Drosophila melanogaster: one gene and its partners. The protein of the gene in region 3 interacts with the protein of the main gene of each other region in a pairwise test. Each region holds a gene or a part of one and is shown on either strand. Other genes may lie near its edges. The genes, in order: CG31415, CG15083, CG11379 and Syx6.

Region 1 (3,278 bases), on a different chromosome or scaffold from region 3:
GACGAAAGTTTCTATGAAGAGCCTGACGACGAAGAGCAGTTGGATAAGTGTAAGTAAACTTCAGTTTGCACTAGGGCTTGAAATATGATCGTGCGGATATCGCTGTGTAGGGCAATTGGGTTTCAATTTATAAAACTTATTTATGAAACTTTAATTTATAATACAAAAACCAGATCTTAAGCAAATAAATTACAATGCGGTGATTACATTTAAAAGTTATATCGTATTTATCAACTCAAATACCTTTGTTTCAATGTTCTACTTCCTGTTTTTATTGCAGCTTTATTATACGTTAAGTAAAGTACCCAAAAGTAAATGATGCTATTCTAGGAATAAAGGATTACAACTAATGCAATTTAACAAATTATTTGCAAAAGCAATTGTTTTACTTCACCGAATGAAGGGGTGTTTAAGAACATCAATTTGTGGACAAAACCAGTTATTCTTTATTGCCATTATTTATGTCCTACTAGAAATAAAACTTGGAAAAAAAAAATTGTTTACTGCAAGCAAGCTATATTTGTATCTTTCAAAAGAATTTGTAAAATTGTAAATAAAACTAAAAAATATTTTACACGCAAGATATTGGATCGCGAAATAGGAACATTAAATACCTAATTATGTATTTATAGATATAATCATCCTGAAGCTAAATCACATATTTTATTCTCGCTTCCAAATTGTTTGAGGAAGTAACTAATTTAAAATGAGGCGTTAAAACAATTATAATTCTTTAAGCGATAAGTTAAGAACTCTTATAAGATAATTATACCTTCTTCGCCGTCTATTAACATTATTAATTAAGACCAGTAGTCAGAAGCAATTAATGAAAAAATAATATGTTAACCTCTGATTCTTGTACTGTATTCGTGTAAAAAAAGAACATTGTTTTTCTGAAAATAAAATGAGAGCATTGACATCCGCCATATACAGTAGAAAAATACAAATTTGATGAATACGATTGTTATACACGTACATTTTATTGAAATTTAGGTGATTTGAAGTGGAACCGAATTTTTGTATTTATCCGTAGAATGTATGAATCATTGTTCTTTACGTCGATGTATTCTGAAGACTTTGGCATTGGAAGCTTTGGATGTAATTTGCTAGGGATGGGTTCCCAACACGACCGCTCACTGGTCAGATCCTTCGGCGATGCTTCGCAGTATCCAATCGGAGAAGCTACTCACCAGGGTGTAGACCCCCGGAATGGTGGTCACGCCGCACAGCGTCGGTCCAAAGGCCACGATGCCGATGATCGTATAACGTCCACTTGTTCCAAAGACGCCGGAGGTACCGTCGTCCATAAAGGGGCCGCCACTATCGCCTCGGCACACGTCATTCATGGGCATTCCCTGGGCGCACAGGTGGTTGGGAGTAATCACAATAGGCTGCTGGAAGTTCTCACTGAGACTGGCATAGGCGATGGCGCAACTGGTGGTGTTCACGATGGGCAAACGGATGAAGCGCACCCCAGCGGTGGAGTTTGAGGGGTCCATCGAACTATTATCTGGATAAAATTTGTAGTAGAGAATGTTATATACATTTAAAACCTAATATGCACTGAATTATATTTCGATCGCATTGATAGTAAGTTAAAAAATGTAACAGATCAGATATAAAGTTGTTTCGAGACTAACTTTCAGTACTCCCAATACTCCAACCAGCAGCCACTCCAATTTGTCCTATCAGCCTGTTTCCCAGTGTGATTGGCCCGTTGAAGGGTAAGCATATGGGTGTGAAAGTGCCTGCAAGGTTGGTGGTGGTTATTCAGCGTAATCATTGACCTAGGATAGGAGTATAATCTCTTACCATTAGTGCTGTTGATTCGTAGGAGGGCAATGTCATTTGCATACTTGGGCTGGTCGTAGTTCGGATGAACTATAACCTGCTCGATGGCAAACGGAGTCGCCCCATCCTGACTTCCCAATCGAACATGGGACCTACGAAAGAGCGTGGATTACAAAAGATTTAATTAGGCTTTAGACTTACAGTTCCAAATCGCTGACTAGGTTGACCACACAGTGGGCGGCAGTTACGATGTGGTTGCTGGATATCAGGGATCCGGAGCAGCGAAAGCTAATGCGGCTGCTGCCTGAAAATATTATCGTAAAACTTCTGTAAGAATAAAGATTTTTTCTTGTTTTCAGCTCAACATGTGCGCTTGCCCTTGTTCAGGAAGAAGTCTACCACCTCAGAGCAACAACCCTGATTCTTGCCCAGCTCCTGGCTCACGGGGCGGTCCAGGTGCTGGTGGAGGTGCCCCTGGTGCCGGTGGAGGCGGCCCAGGTGGTCGTGGAGGGGGCCCGCCCCAAAAGCGTGGAACGTGTGGCCCCAAACCTTGCGGCGGACAGCAGTGCAATAAATGCGGTAAGGGAGGCCCTGGAGGAAGAGGTGGCCCTGGAGGAAAAGGTGGTGGCCCTGGAGGAAGAAATGGCCCTGGAGGTAGTGGTGGTCCCGGAGGCAGAAATGCTCCCAATGGCGGTGGTGGAGGCGGAGGAGGACCTTTTGGGCTGAGTGCCCCACCAAACAATCGCGGACCCAAGGCTCTGGGACTGGCTGCTCTGCTCTTTGCCGTCGGCGTCTACCTTACATTAAAAATGGTTATTGTGGCCAGTGAAATTGGATGAGCGCAGACAGGACGGCATTGGGCCCGGCTCAGATCTCCAATGCGGAGTAAGTTTAAGAGCATTTAAGAGGCGTTGCGTTGGGTAAAATAAATTCGAAATTGCGTATTTAGCCTAACATAAGATGTACTTACTTCGGTTGCGATAAGCGATCCTTGTCAGCCAGGGAAACTGTCCGGCACTAGCCTGATCTCCTCCCAGCAGTCGGCTCTCTACATTTATCCCACATCCTTGGGTGTTCTCCTGTGCGAAAGGTGGCATCGATGCGGTTGTTGTGGATAAAGAAGCAGGAATTGTTTCAATTGGTGTAGCTAATGTTGTGGTAAACGGCGCCAGGGGCGGACCTTGATCTATGTTGGAGTCAATTGCCTCCTCTCCCTGCCGCTGGAAGCGTAGGTCCCCGGGAAATACTATGGGCTTATCCTTTGGCACGGGTCGCAGTAATGTATCCCGTTCTTCGTGCTCCACATGATACAGAAAGTGGTGTCCCAAGGCGAACCGTCGGTCGAAGAACTCTGGTTCCACGGGCTGGGGACAATTGCGTTGTTCCTCGAAGTTCCAGTAGTCATGCAGATTGGTCTCCGCTTCCAGATAATCCCCGTGTGTGTGGGAGTGCCGGCTGCCCTTGTCACTATCCGCACCATCCCAAAT
Region 2 (3,853 bases), on a different chromosome or scaffold from region 3:
GATGCATGAAATACAACGTAGTATATAATTTTGGTGCTACTAGCTAGAAAAATATTGGGTTTATCGGGGAAGCCCCATTGGAAACATTCGAAAAGGGATATGATGAAATAAGAGCTGGCCAAACGGGAAGCTACACTGGAGCTTAAATCTTGGTGTAGCTGGGATAGGAGTTGGTCTGCTGGGTCGGCTGTGGGATCAGCGGGCGCTGGATCTCACGGGATGCCTGGATCTGCTTGAAGAGCGAGTAGATGCCGTAGTAGAGATACCAGGTCAGCACTGAAAACGAGCGAATGGAGAAAAATAAGCATCGTGCCCAAGCGCAATTATAGAACGATCGCAGACCGTCGAGCGATAAGCGCAATGGGGATCCACAATTTCGCAACAACGGCCAGTGTGTATTGTGTATACCCATTTCCAGATAGAGCTTATGTATGTATGAAGTGGTGAGTCACTTACAGAGCAGGCCAACATCCACGAAAATGATTGGAAGAGCGCTCAGGAAAGATGTATTTCCGATGATCTGGGCCAGCATTGCAATATTGGTGATAATTCCAAAGACAAGCAGCACTCCATTGTTGATCAGCCAGGGCAGCAGGAGTAAATGGCGTTCCTGAAAGGCAAACGCTATTAGAACCATCTCTATCTCTAGTTAGTATGGTGTATGTACATATGTATTTGCAAAGAAACTTGCCGGTTTTTTTTACAGAATAGTGGGCTTTTAAAAAGGTCTAACTCTAGATATGTACTATAGTAGACACATATATACGCGATTGTACAGATTGCATATTGATACTAGACTTACCTTAACGGTACCTGCAACCAACATGGCCGAAGCCAGAAGATTAATCACCTTGAGCGCCAGGTAAACACTGAAAACGATGATTAGCACTGCAATAACCGCAAGAACAATGAAATACAATAAAAAATATACGATTGGTTGTGGGTGCACTCGATGGTTAGCCCTTACCACTGCGAATCTCGGTGGCCGTCTTGTTAGAATCTTCCGATCCCTTGGCGATCTGCTGCGCAATTTCATCGACGAATCCGAGGGCCAAGGACAAGAGGATCGTGGCCAAGAAGGATAGAATCACGCCCAGCCATCCAATGACCACACCATAGGTGTTCAGGCGCATACAGAAGACCCTGGACAGCATTCTGGATTCACTTGATTTCGTGCTAATGCGAAGATAAAGACAATTTTACTTCAGTTCGCCGGCGCAGCAAAATTGCAATTGCTTGATAAGTCGCAATTGGCTGACAATTAAAAGCTTTTGGGTACAGCGGCGTTGCCAGACTGGTTCAAGCAGTTGGTGTCGAAACTGTGACTTGTTCACCAGCTTTTAATGTGACTTTTTAACGCTAATTGTTTAAAATTCTTTTAATAACATTTTTATATTTTAAATATTTTTATGCATTTATTATTTGGCATGATAGTTAAAAAATATTTATTTATGTATTCATTAACACTGCACAGCAGCGGCTTACTTTCATAATATTTTTCAAGGTGCTAATAGTAGCTACATTACATATATAATACAGCATTAAATCTCTCTATTATTTTAAAGACAATTCCCCATTTTATTCATTTCACTCTTAAATGACGAAACATATGCAAACAAATTCATATAGTAAATGAGTGCACATATATTTTTTAAGAACATATCAGACGTAGTTTTTCCACGCTCGAAAAAAAAGTATTTTCGTGTTGCATAGTTTACGCAACCGTTTCTTCTGAGCGGCATCGGCATTTGCGCCACACTTATTATTTGATTCTTGCCCAGTGCGGTTGTGTTTCCGTGCGCTAGGTGTTCCCAAACCGGTTTAAGTGCCATACTAGCCATATTTGTATTTGGAAAATTCGCTGTAAACCACAGAGTTTCAAAATGAAAATCGATCTGACGGTGGAAAATGGCCCGTGCAATACCGATTTGCGGAGCTGGTGCCTGGGAATCGCGATCTATTGGCTATTGAGCATGACTTTCAACGTTATATTCGCTCCAAACGGTAGGAGAAATGCGAGAGGCGTGGCATTTGTTTATTTTCAGAAGCTGATTGCCCAGACTGACGCTATTTCCATAGAGAGACAATACATTCATGATGTTCACATGCGAAATAAACGAATGAGCTAATCCATTCGACACAAACGCGTTCCAATTCACAACCATTTTGGATACAACACCTCACCATCGATGACGACATCGCCGACAAATTCGAGCTGACAATTCATTTTAGGTGGCCCGAAATGCCATTTTCTCACAGGCTTGAATTTTCCAGCACAAAAAAGAAAATTAAATAATTTCCTTGGGCTGTGCATGGCGCAGAATTAAACTTAAAAGATTATTGGGTTTTAACAGTTGAACGCCATATGTCATAAAAACACTTAAAGCCCTGCATTTGTCCATGTCTCAAAGAAGTTCTATAAACCTTATTCTAAGCTGTTTTAAAAAGTTTGTCATATTTCATGTATGAAATGTGTTTAAAATATAAAAGAAGAATTTATGTTTTAGTTCTTTATGTATATGTACACATGTACATGAAGTGCATCAGTGCATCAATATGTACTCATTATATACGAAGATACATTTAGCAGTCGTGTTCTCAAATTTCAGACGGGAAGAAAGATAAGAGCACAGCAACGTTTTGCTTGGAATACATTGAGTCACTTATAAGCCCAAGTTTATGTTTACTTTCCACTAATTGTAACGGCTTTTTTTATGAATGAAATATGTACGTTCAATAATTTCTATTTAAATTCACTTGAATCCTTGCAGTTCTTACCTTTATTGGATTTGCCATCGTAGTAGTCGCCAATATTTGCTTATTGATAGGAACCCTGAAGGTAAATAAAATACAACCCATTCCGTTTTATTGAGTCAACGAAACCCAATCTACCTTTCCGAATTGCAGGAAAAGCCAATTCTGGTGTTCGTCTGGCTGATCTTCGCTGCCATTGAAGCCATCTCCTTTCCGTTTGCCGTCTTCGGGGTTATCTTCCACTACGGAGGATATCGCGAGGCTACCGGAATGAACAACGTTTTCGGTGCCCTGCTCGTTTACATCATCACATTTCGTAAGTATCGGCTATGAACATCAAATTGAGTTAACAAAAATGTACAGATCATACATATTCTCCGCTACACTTTCAGTATTGATCCTCTTCAGCGCACGAATTGTGTACTCCTTCTACCTCCAGCTGAAAAACAGCGAAGCCAGCAAACAAACACCGCGCGCCATGAATGTGGTTTAGTCCTTATCATTCTACACTACATAAATTGTCGGGGAAGAGCCCACCGTTCGTTCATCTCAGTGTTTGCAATAAAATGCTTTGTTTTTTATTTGATTGCAGTTTGTCGTTAACGCACATCTCTTACTCACATCGACTTGGGATCAACTATCAACAGTTAAATACATTGGTTACATACATATACATACAGGGTGCTATTGGCTATTGGGCTACCGCGTTCTTAAACATTCAACATTTAAAACGATCGATCACACTACGGACAATTATATACTCTCGACACAGTTCTCTATCTATATAGCTAGCTATCATACTCGGCATCGTCTTCTGCTCCAATCTGCTTACTTAGACATAAAATGGAAAGTTGGTCATCTTATTGTTGCTGCTGTTATTGATGTTTTGCGACTGCGTAAAGCTCGTCTCGGCATTTTGGGTAGTTAGCTTAGCCTGCACGGCCGCCAGTATTCGCACAGCCTGGCCAGTACTGCCCGACTCCATGGCAGACTCCATACCTAGGTTCAGGTTCAGCTTGAGCTCGAAGTGTGACCCACTCGCTTGGATCTGCGACTGCGTCTGCCGTTGGGCAACAGCCGGTTTTCATCTCGGCGTGGT
Region 3 (3,916 bases):
TAGCGAATAAGAGAAAAGTTAAGGGATCGTGTTCATGAAAAATATTTGCGATAATATATTTTACTTGTTAACCCAAAGGATATTATAAAATAACATTTTGCTGCTTATACCCGAAGCTGATTTTCAGGACGCGAAGTGCATCCGAAATGGAAAAATTGTATCGTAAGCTGCACTTGTAACTGAACTATATCTGCTATAGCAGCTTAGTTAATTCTGCAACACGAAGGTCAGATATTTTGGAACACCTTTCGATTTTATTATAAGCACAGAAAAAAAAAGTATGCGTATTTCACCTCGCTGAATTTTCTCTGCGATTTGAGTTTGAATGCTGCCTGGGAGCGTGGAAAACACTTGCACTTTTCCTGGCGAGCGACGCGCTTTGATTAACACGGCTGCATTGCCAGCCAGGCTTTTATATCGCTCGACGACCCGACCAATTTCCCGCAATTGGCAACAGGCTGCGGCTGCAGTTTTAACCAGTGCGAAACACGACAGCGCGCCAGCAAGCAACAGCATTTGGCTGGCACTGCCTTGGAAGCATTTCAGCGGCATTGTTGCGTGTGCCAGGCTCTTGCATGTCGCTAGTTGCAAGTTGCAAGTTGCTAGTTGCCAGTTGCTATTTGCTAGTTGCCAGTTGCTGTTTGCCGTCGTGGTGTCCATCGCTTTTGGCTACGCTTCAAGTTCAAGTTTACAGCCATCGATCGCGCATCAGAGTAATGGTTTCGTTTTCGCTTTCGATCGACTTGCTTTGCTTTACTTTGAGCCGCTGGGTTCCGTCTTCCGAATCCGAAACCGAAACCGAATCGGTTGTTTGGGGGCGTGTCGCTTTTGGATCTCGGATCGGTCCTCTTCCGCATTGCATATGGGTACGGCTACGGCTAACGAGTTTACAAGTCTTTTTCGGGGGGATGACAGCCCCCAGTGGTTGGCAGTTTGGCCGGTAGTTGTCCGCTTCAAATTGGCTTCATGGATTCGGTCAGAAAGTGGTCTTGCGATTTAATATATGTTCGATTTTTGAGTTTATTTTTTTCTTAAAGAAGCTAAAAGAAACTACGCTTTGAATCGAAATTTACTATTATGGTTATTCATAATTCAATTTATGATGCAGCCCGTTGTGTCCCACTGTGCCTATTAAAACGCTTTTAGTATAATTTGAACCATAAATTTAGCTATTGACTGAGGTAGTGTGATATGGCTGTGGAAGTGGAATGGTCACCCCTCCGTCTCAATTGGCAAAGCTCTGTGCGCTTCCCTGGGATTGGGTCTGCATTGGAGTGCCGGGCTCGAGACTTCCGAAGATCAGCGCGGAGCAGCGGCGATGAAGGGTGCGACGCCAGTCGAGCATCCCGCAGCGGAGCTTCTGGGGCAACGCGGTGGCCCATAGGGAAAGCCACAGAAGACATGCGCCGATCAGGCCGGTAGTCAGGCCCAAAGTCCAGTACTCGCAGACCAGGAAGGTTTGCTCCTCGACGGCCAAGGCCTGGAGTATGCCCACAATGGCGCACTGGCAGAGGGACTCTATGCGATGCCACAGTTTGCTAAGGGTCAGATCCAGCACCAAACAGCAGACGCCTGTCTCCAGTAAGAGCGATGCCCAGGACGACTCATTGCCGCGAAGGTTTCGATTCCCATTCCTGAACCGCTGATCGGCGGGCAGGGCACTTGAAAACATCCTCACCCCGTGAAGAAGGGTCACCACGCAGGCGGAAAAGAGCCAGGCGCCCAAGAGAGGAGCAGCGGAGCCGGGAGATTCGCGAAAGTAGTAGTAGTACGAGATGCCCAGTACCGAGTGAAGCAACACCGCCATGATCAAGGCCATTAGTCGAGCCATCTCCAGATGTCCTCCTAGGTGTACACTTCCAGTTTTACGGGAGTAAATTCGGGTCAGAAAGCCTTAAACTGAATTATTCAACTGACTTTTAAAGCAGCAGTCACTACTTGGTTAACTCCGAACACTTGTGTACAAGTATTCCTTGTTATTTTAAGAAGTGATACAAAAAGCAAGTTGTAAACTCTGTTAAAGTTTTTAAAGGCAATATTTAATATATTCGATGTTATCTTTTCAATTTATAATTTATATATTATGATTTATACAGCATTCTTGCGTGGCAGAATACCCCATCGGTAATGGCATAGGTTTCCTCTTTGTGTAATCACAGTCACTGTCTGCGTCACAGTTGAAGTCACAGACACCGCGCCAATTGCAATTATCACCACAAGTCAAACAGGCTCAGATGTCAAGGCCTTGTTTTCCTCATTTTCAGTGGGCTCATTACGTGAGGCAAGTGGAAATGGGAAATGTGCTCGATAGTAGTCAGCTTACTTTCATTTTTGTTTCGGCCAAAGCTTTGCGGCTCCAACTTTTGGACTTTAAAGCTTGAGCATGATCATGGAGAAACTCATAGATAAGCTCTTCCAGATCTTTATATGTACAATAATATATATGTACGTCTGGTAAACCAAGATGATTTATAAAATGATTAGGCTGGTTGGCATGGAATAAAATTTCTTGCATGCACTTGCTCCGCACTGTTCTCTGCCGACATGACGTCCCAATCCTGGTGATGCTGCTCCGCTTGCTCTGTCAGCAAGTCATAAATCTTCGGCTTCAACTGAACTTGATACATCAAAATGTTGGTCAAATTAAATTTCTTGCGCCTCGTCCTTTCCCGCACAGCTCGCCCCCGCCCCGCCCGCTGCTCCTTGATTCTCCCAGGGATTTCACTAGGAGCAGCTGCCAAGTAATTCGTCAAGCTGCTTTGTCCTCCTCCAGCGGCTGTTCTTATCTCATCTCTGGGTGAGCATTGTTGCTCCGCTCCTCTGTGCTGTGCTGTGCTGTTCTGTACTGTTCATCTGTCTGACTCCACCACCTACCAATCTACCTACCGACCTACCACCCCCATCCCTGTATCCCTGTATCGCCCCGTTTTGGCTGGCTTTCATGTCAACTGCATTTTTCTTTTGCTGTGTTGCTTGTTGTGTGCTGTGCGCTTTTTCACTGCTTTAAACCACTTAATGGGTTTTTTTTATGTGGACCTGGGTTAGATGGAAAAGCGCAAGGAGTGGGAGGCGGCCTGGCGGTGCCTCGGGGCTATTCATGCTGCAGCTTTCTTGTAGCTTCATTCACAAAGACTTGCAATTCATCAAATCTCGTTAGCCTCGGCTTTTATAGAAAATCTGCAGCTGCTTTTGCTTCTGCTTTTCTTTTCGGGGTTTCGGGGGGCTGTGCTCCTCTCATTCATCTGCCACGCCCACGGACACGGAGTGGGCGTGGCCGAAGCTTCAGCACCGATTCGAATCCCCGTCCGCATCCGCTTTACCATTTCCAAACGGCATCCTATCCTCTGGGATCCTCTGTCATTATTGACTGGCAACGACTTTAAGGCAACTTTTGTTCCGCTCCCATGCGCTTAACTTTAAGGGCTTTACCTTCTCCACCTGAGCTGAGCTCCGATCCATGCTTCTTCCTTTGAGCTAATGAAAAGTGTGTGTCTCCCAAAATGGAGTGGAATCCTTGCAGCTGCAGCTTGCATCATCAGGCTCTCCCAGCGAATAGCTCGTCTAAATAAAAGTAAACCAAAGCTCTGCCAAGGAGCAACAATAAACGAGTTGGCCAATGCATTTTTAATGCAACCAACCACCCAACCACCTGTACAAATCCGTTAGGGAGGAATGGGGATGCTCTCGAGGTTCTCTAGGTAGCCTCAAAAATGTTTCCAGAATTGGGGCACATGTTGCCACCACATTGCGATTAAATGACCCTTTTGTGCTTCCTTCACAACAATTTTCTGGGATCAGCACTATGATTCGGCAACACTGAGAGGTGTGGAACATGTGGGTAAATAGAAATTTGTAAATACGAAGAAAATCAGTTATTCAACACTGGTCTGGTGTGGGACCAACACTGTTCGCATAA
Region 4 (4,829 bases), on a different chromosome or scaffold from region 3:
TCCAGCTCCGCGGAAAAGGCAAACAACACTGAATGCCGAAACCCGAAAAACATCACATGGAAACGTGCCGCTCTGCCCGTGTGCTTATGCTGTGACCCAGTGGCGTAGTCCGGATTCCCCGTAGGGGTTATGTTTCAAGCCTTTCGAAGATACCCCTTTGGTTGCGCCACTGTGCGCAGACTGTAAGCTCGCCAAAAAGCTCCGGGCAAAAGCATGCAACACAGCTGAGTGAGTGGGCAAATCGAGTGGGCTGTCGAGTGGTTTTGGGGCGCAGAGAGAACATGAGAAGGGGCCTGATACCCTCTCCTTGTGCACAGAGAAAAATTTGGTATTAAATACCATTTTCCAAATCATTGATCTATCAGAAGATAACATCTTGACTAATCCTACTATCCTTAAAAACATTAAAAAATTTGAAAGCTTGTATTTCCAATTTTTGTTTAATTTAGGCTTTCAAAATAGCGAACAAATTTTTGTATATGTATACAATTTCTCTCTGTGCACTCATACAGTATTTCTAGGTGACCCGTAAGAAGTACCTCATTTGGCTTTAAATTAGGAATTTAATTTATAAGTATATATATTTACTCAATTGCATACAAGTTTTTGCTAGATTTGGTTAGTGAAATTTCCTAAGACTCTTCGTTAAATAACTCGTTTGATATTGGTAGGTCCATTTTGTTTGTATGTATATATATGCAGATATATCCTTCGATGTATATACAGCTTACAGTTGCAGTATCCTTTGGCCAAATTGGGAATGACAGAACTCTGGAGCACTTGGTTTATATGTAAGTAGTTAGTTATCTTTTATTACCCGCCTACATTGACTTTACATGATCATTTGTCCGTAGCTTTGGAATTACATTATATATATATAGAGAGAGGCGGCTGGTAATAAATCAGGTTAAAATGTTTCCGTGTATATACAGCAAGGGAGTTTACATGGAATTGTAATTAAGAGCCCGAATTCAAAAGCAAGCTAAGTCATAAATAAATCTAATTTACACTAAATATAAACGATTTGGGAACAACGAAAGCAATTACAAAATAATAAACAAAATTATCACAAACAATAACAGTCCGGATAGGATGAGAATGGCGGCCCACTGTCGTTTATCTGTGAAAGAAGATGGATACAGTTAAGAATTAGGAATCAGAAGTCACAAAAGTATTCAATGGGTAATTTTGATTGTGGTTCACTGAAGCATTTACTCTTCATTAATATTTCAATCAAAATAGTCCTTGAATACCACAAGTGCCGCACCACTCACCATTATTCATGTGCAAGACTTTGGCAACTTTCTTCATGGTCGTATCCAACTTGGACTCCGTGGTATCGAACTCGTTCCCAAAGTCGTCTAGCATGACGGCCTGCTCATCGAGCTCAACGCCAATTTGCCGCGAGACCGTCTTGAGGGTACCAATCGAATCGCTGATCATGTCTAGCTGCTCATCCTGTCCCTGGATCATACGCTGCTGTATGGACACTGTTTCGCCCACGTACCTATGACTCGGACTGTCCATGCCGCCGTGATGCGTCTGCCCATAGTGACTGGGACTGTCCAGGGCGTTCTCCAGCTTGGAGTACTTGGTGCCGCTGTGGCGGGATGCTGCTGCCGCTGCCGCCGACATGGTCCCAGCTATGGTATTGGCCACCTGACTGCCGCTATTGATCAGCGAGTTGCCGTTGGGACACTCCACGAGGTACGTGCGATCGTTGTGTGGATGCTGATGGTACTCGTTGGAGTTGGAATTCGAATTGGGTATGGCAATGGAATGATTGTGATTGGGGCTGTGGCGATCGTTGTCGAGCAGCGGCTGGTGTGCGGTGATGTCTCTGTCCCGGCTCCGGTTCAGGCTCATCTTATCCTTCATCTGCTTGACCTCATCGCGAGTGTTGTCGATGAAGTGGCGCCGGCTGGAGAGTTCGCGGTTGTCGATCCGAAACTTGCTTGGATTCTTCTCAACGATGCGTGTGAGTCAAAATGGTATGGGTTAAGGAGAAAACCGAGGAGACTGATGAGCTAGAAAGTCGGTTCTACCGACCTTAAGATACCAAGTACTCTTTTTTTACAATTATAGTGCCAAAAAAACAAGTTCTGTACAGTTTATTAGTATAATACTAATAAACGAGCGAATTAAATCACGAATAAATTGCATATTCAGCAATTTTAAATGGGATCTCAACCTCTTTATGCGAAAATAAAACAGACAATGCAATTCGATAAATGAGTACCAGGTAACGAATTGATTTTTCAATGGTCTTTGCAAAAGGATATTGATAGTGTCCTCGAGGTCCTCGAGATCCCACTCGATGCTCCGTAGCGAGTTACGCAGCTCGGTGGTGGTCCATTCAGCCTCCGTTCCGCCGTTCTCGCCCAGCTCCCGCCAACGCAGATAGAGGCCGCGGGTTTTGTTCAGAGCTTTGAATACCTCGCTGTTGGGGAAGGGGAGGGAAATGAAAGAAAAAACAGAGATATAAGTAAGATAGCACTTTCCACCAGCAGTGCATGTGGCCATCTGCCAAATCGGGGACACCTACTCCTTGACCACGAAAAACGGATCCTCCAGAGACATGCCGCGTTCTCTTCTTGCCACAAAACGAAAACTAACACTCCTAGCAGTTTTTCACCAGCGTGGCGCACTTGACGGTTCTTTTCATGGATTTTTCCGGGCGAAAACCACCCCCCAAAGGTACAAGGGGGCAAATTGCAAGTTGGCAATAGCAAAAGCACTTCGTGGGAGTTACATCAAAAGGCAAGCAAATGGGGAGCAAATTTTTGCTTTCAATCCGTTCTATATAGCAGGAATTTCACAATCGACTGGGTTTTATCTTTCGCCTAGCAGCGATGTTTGAACAGCACGTTTATTGATTATTGCACTTGGACCCGCTCCGCCGCTTATCGCTCGATTTCTTGTGGATTCCGCCGACTTAGCTGGTTCCACCGATGGCCCAGAGAACACTGTCGCTATTTGCGCTCCAGAGATTAAGCCCCCACCGAGAACCACTACCCCACTGGCATTTGTTTACGCCGCTCCCGCTCCAGCGGCTGCGCACTTTGGTTCCTTGATTACCAACCCCTTGACTAACCGATTTGAAAACAACCCGAATTTTGGCCAAAAAATTCCACAACAACAAATCGTCGGCCAAATGGCCAGCACTGTTGCAATTTTCATCGCTCGCTCACCTGCTGCTCGTCTCCACGTCATTTAGCAAACTTCGGTCCGAGAACACGGTGACGGACTTTAATTTCAAGTTCACACGAGACAAATTCTGATAAATAAATTTAAGTAAAGGTTTTATTTCTGTTTTGCTGCTAGCAAAATAAACCGTAAGGCTTAGTATGACCCAAGTGCGATAGCACGTTTATCCCGCGATAATTTAGTATATATCGCAAGTGCAGAAAATACGTTACTAAACAGTTTGAATCAGGTGGCAGCTCTGGATTTGAATATATATTTATCCACATTCAGCTTGAGCAGCATAAACGAATATTTTGAAAACCTGCAACATTCGCATGAATTAAAGTTTACAAAATAGCACTATAAATAAGCTATTATTACTATTTCACATGAGAACGTTCGTAATAGAGTATTAAAATCATCTGAGTCAGGAAGTGTGACCAGGCGAGGGGCACAAAGCACTTAACTTCCGTTGTGCTACTGCCCCACTGACCACCGTTATCAATTTCATTTAGACCGCCGTCAAATAAGTTTGAAAAGTGCTGGCGAAATGTTGCAAAACAACGCGGTGCGCACTTTGCAATACGACAGTGAGATCCGTGTGGCCCAGCAGCCAAGTCTCTCAGAACCGAGAGGTAATTTAGGGCATATGGCTTTAGAAAACGAATAAAAACAGCGAGTGAATCACCCTGGCAAAAGGGTAACCGAATTGTTACCAACTGATAAGCAGTGCACCGGATTAATTATTGTTGCGAGCGAGTGTGTCACACAGTTCGACGCAAAAATGCGGCCACAAGTTGGCTATATCTTATCGGCCAGCGTTTTGTTATGGTCTGCGACTCCTCAAGTGCCTTTGTTTGGGACGATCGAACCCAGCGATCAATCCGATAGTAAAACCGTACCCATGATATTAGCTGTATCCTATACCAACATTTTCCTATTCCAAGAAAAGTAATAAAATATTTATGTGACAAGATTATGAAAAAATCGAAAAACTACTAAAGTTTTAATCTAAACGATTTGTTATAACCACAAAATATTTTCAATAATATTGCTATTACTCAGAGCTATTATTAGCAGAATGTTCAACAACCATTTTTATTTAATTCAAATTCACTGTAAAATTATGATCTTAAAACTACAACTTTAAATGAAATTTAAATTTAATTAAAATATTAAAAACTTTCAAAATTCAATCTATGGAAAAGTTTGTAATACCCTAAAGATATGGAAAAGGTTTATAAAATCTTAGTTCAAAGATAACAATATGGACAACCTTACGATTCTGCTCGTATTGGAAAATGGTCTATATACGATTTGTTTGTTTTTCTTCAGTTTATGACTCCCATATCAGCATTACCTCACAACCCAGGCCGGAGGCTCCACGCATCCCGCTGCCAGTGCCAATTGCCACGGTTACGGGAAGCCGGACGCTTATCCCACTTTCCGGATACGATTGCCTAGCAGATCTGCCGTCCGTACATATTGAACAGACCTTTGAGCTTAACGATGGTAAGTACAAGCCCAAAAATTAGCTAAAATCGCTTCTAATAGTTCGTCTTCCCTTTGCAGCCCTAACAGGCGTCTCCTCGGAGAATCGATATGTGGTGCGATCTCCACTGGGTGATGCCATTTTCGCGGCC

The links.
Region 1: the proteins of CG11379 (region 3) and CG31415 interact in a two-hybrid assay, tested with the Drosophila melanogaster proteins (one large-scale study listed by BioGRID).
Region 2: the proteins of CG11379 (region 3) and CG15083 interact in a two-hybrid assay, tested with the Drosophila melanogaster proteins (one large-scale study listed by BioGRID).
Region 4: the proteins of CG11379 (region 3) and Syx6 interact in a two-hybrid assay, tested with the Drosophila melanogaster proteins (one large-scale study listed by BioGRID).

What each region holds. Positions count from the first base shown.
Region 1 is NT_033777.3:9,741,920-9,745,197, forward strand, and holds CG31415 (uncharacterized protein), read left to right. Parts: upstream 1-1,597; 5' UTR 1,598-1,640; coding exon of another isoform or gene 1,641-1,748; intron 1,749-1,812; coding exon of another isoform or gene 1,813-1,943; intron 1,944-1,992; coding exon of another isoform or gene 1,993-2,095; intron 2,096-2,150; 5' UTR 2,151-2,156; coding exon 2,157-2,630; 3' UTR 2,631-2,743; downstream 2,744-3,278. Other genes in the region: Pnn (pinin), read left to right, coding at 1-49, 281-300; CG34409 (uncharacterized protein), read right to left, coding at 1,134-1,510, 1,641-1,748, 1,813-1,943, 1,993-2,095, 2,762-3,278.
Region 2 is NT_033778.4:18,833,509-18,837,361, forward strand, and holds CG15083 (uncharacterized protein), read left to right. Parts: upstream 1-1,754; 5' UTR 1,755-1,883; coding exon 1,884-2,004; intron 2,005-2,771; coding exon 2,772-2,839; intron 2,840-2,907; coding exon 2,908-3,070; intron 3,071-3,146; coding exon 3,147-3,247; 3' UTR 3,248-3,334; downstream 3,335-3,853. Other genes in the region: CG15098 (uncharacterized protein), read right to left, coding at 143-276, 457-610, 803-888, 968-1,154; CG15099 (uncharacterized protein), read right to left, coding at 3,839-3,853.
Region 3 is NC_004354.4:1,178,179-1,182,094, reverse strand, and holds CG11379 (uncharacterized protein), read right to left. Parts: upstream 1,931-3,916; 5' UTR 1,832-1,930; coding exon 1,226-1,831; 3' UTR 544-1,225; downstream 1-543.
Region 4 is NT_033778.4:11,218,075-11,222,903, reverse strand, and holds Syx6 (syntaxin 6), read right to left. Parts: upstream 2,971-4,829; 5' UTR 2,581-2,970; coding exon of another isoform or gene 2,546-2,580; 5' UTR 2,524-2,545; coding exon 2,283-2,523; intron 1,977-2,282; coding exon 1,275-1,976; intron 1,121-1,274; coding exon 1,044-1,120; 3' UTR 566-1,043; downstream 1-565. Other genes in the region: CG9084 (uncharacterized protein), read left to right, coding at 3,737-3,821, 4,522-4,698, 4,741-4,829.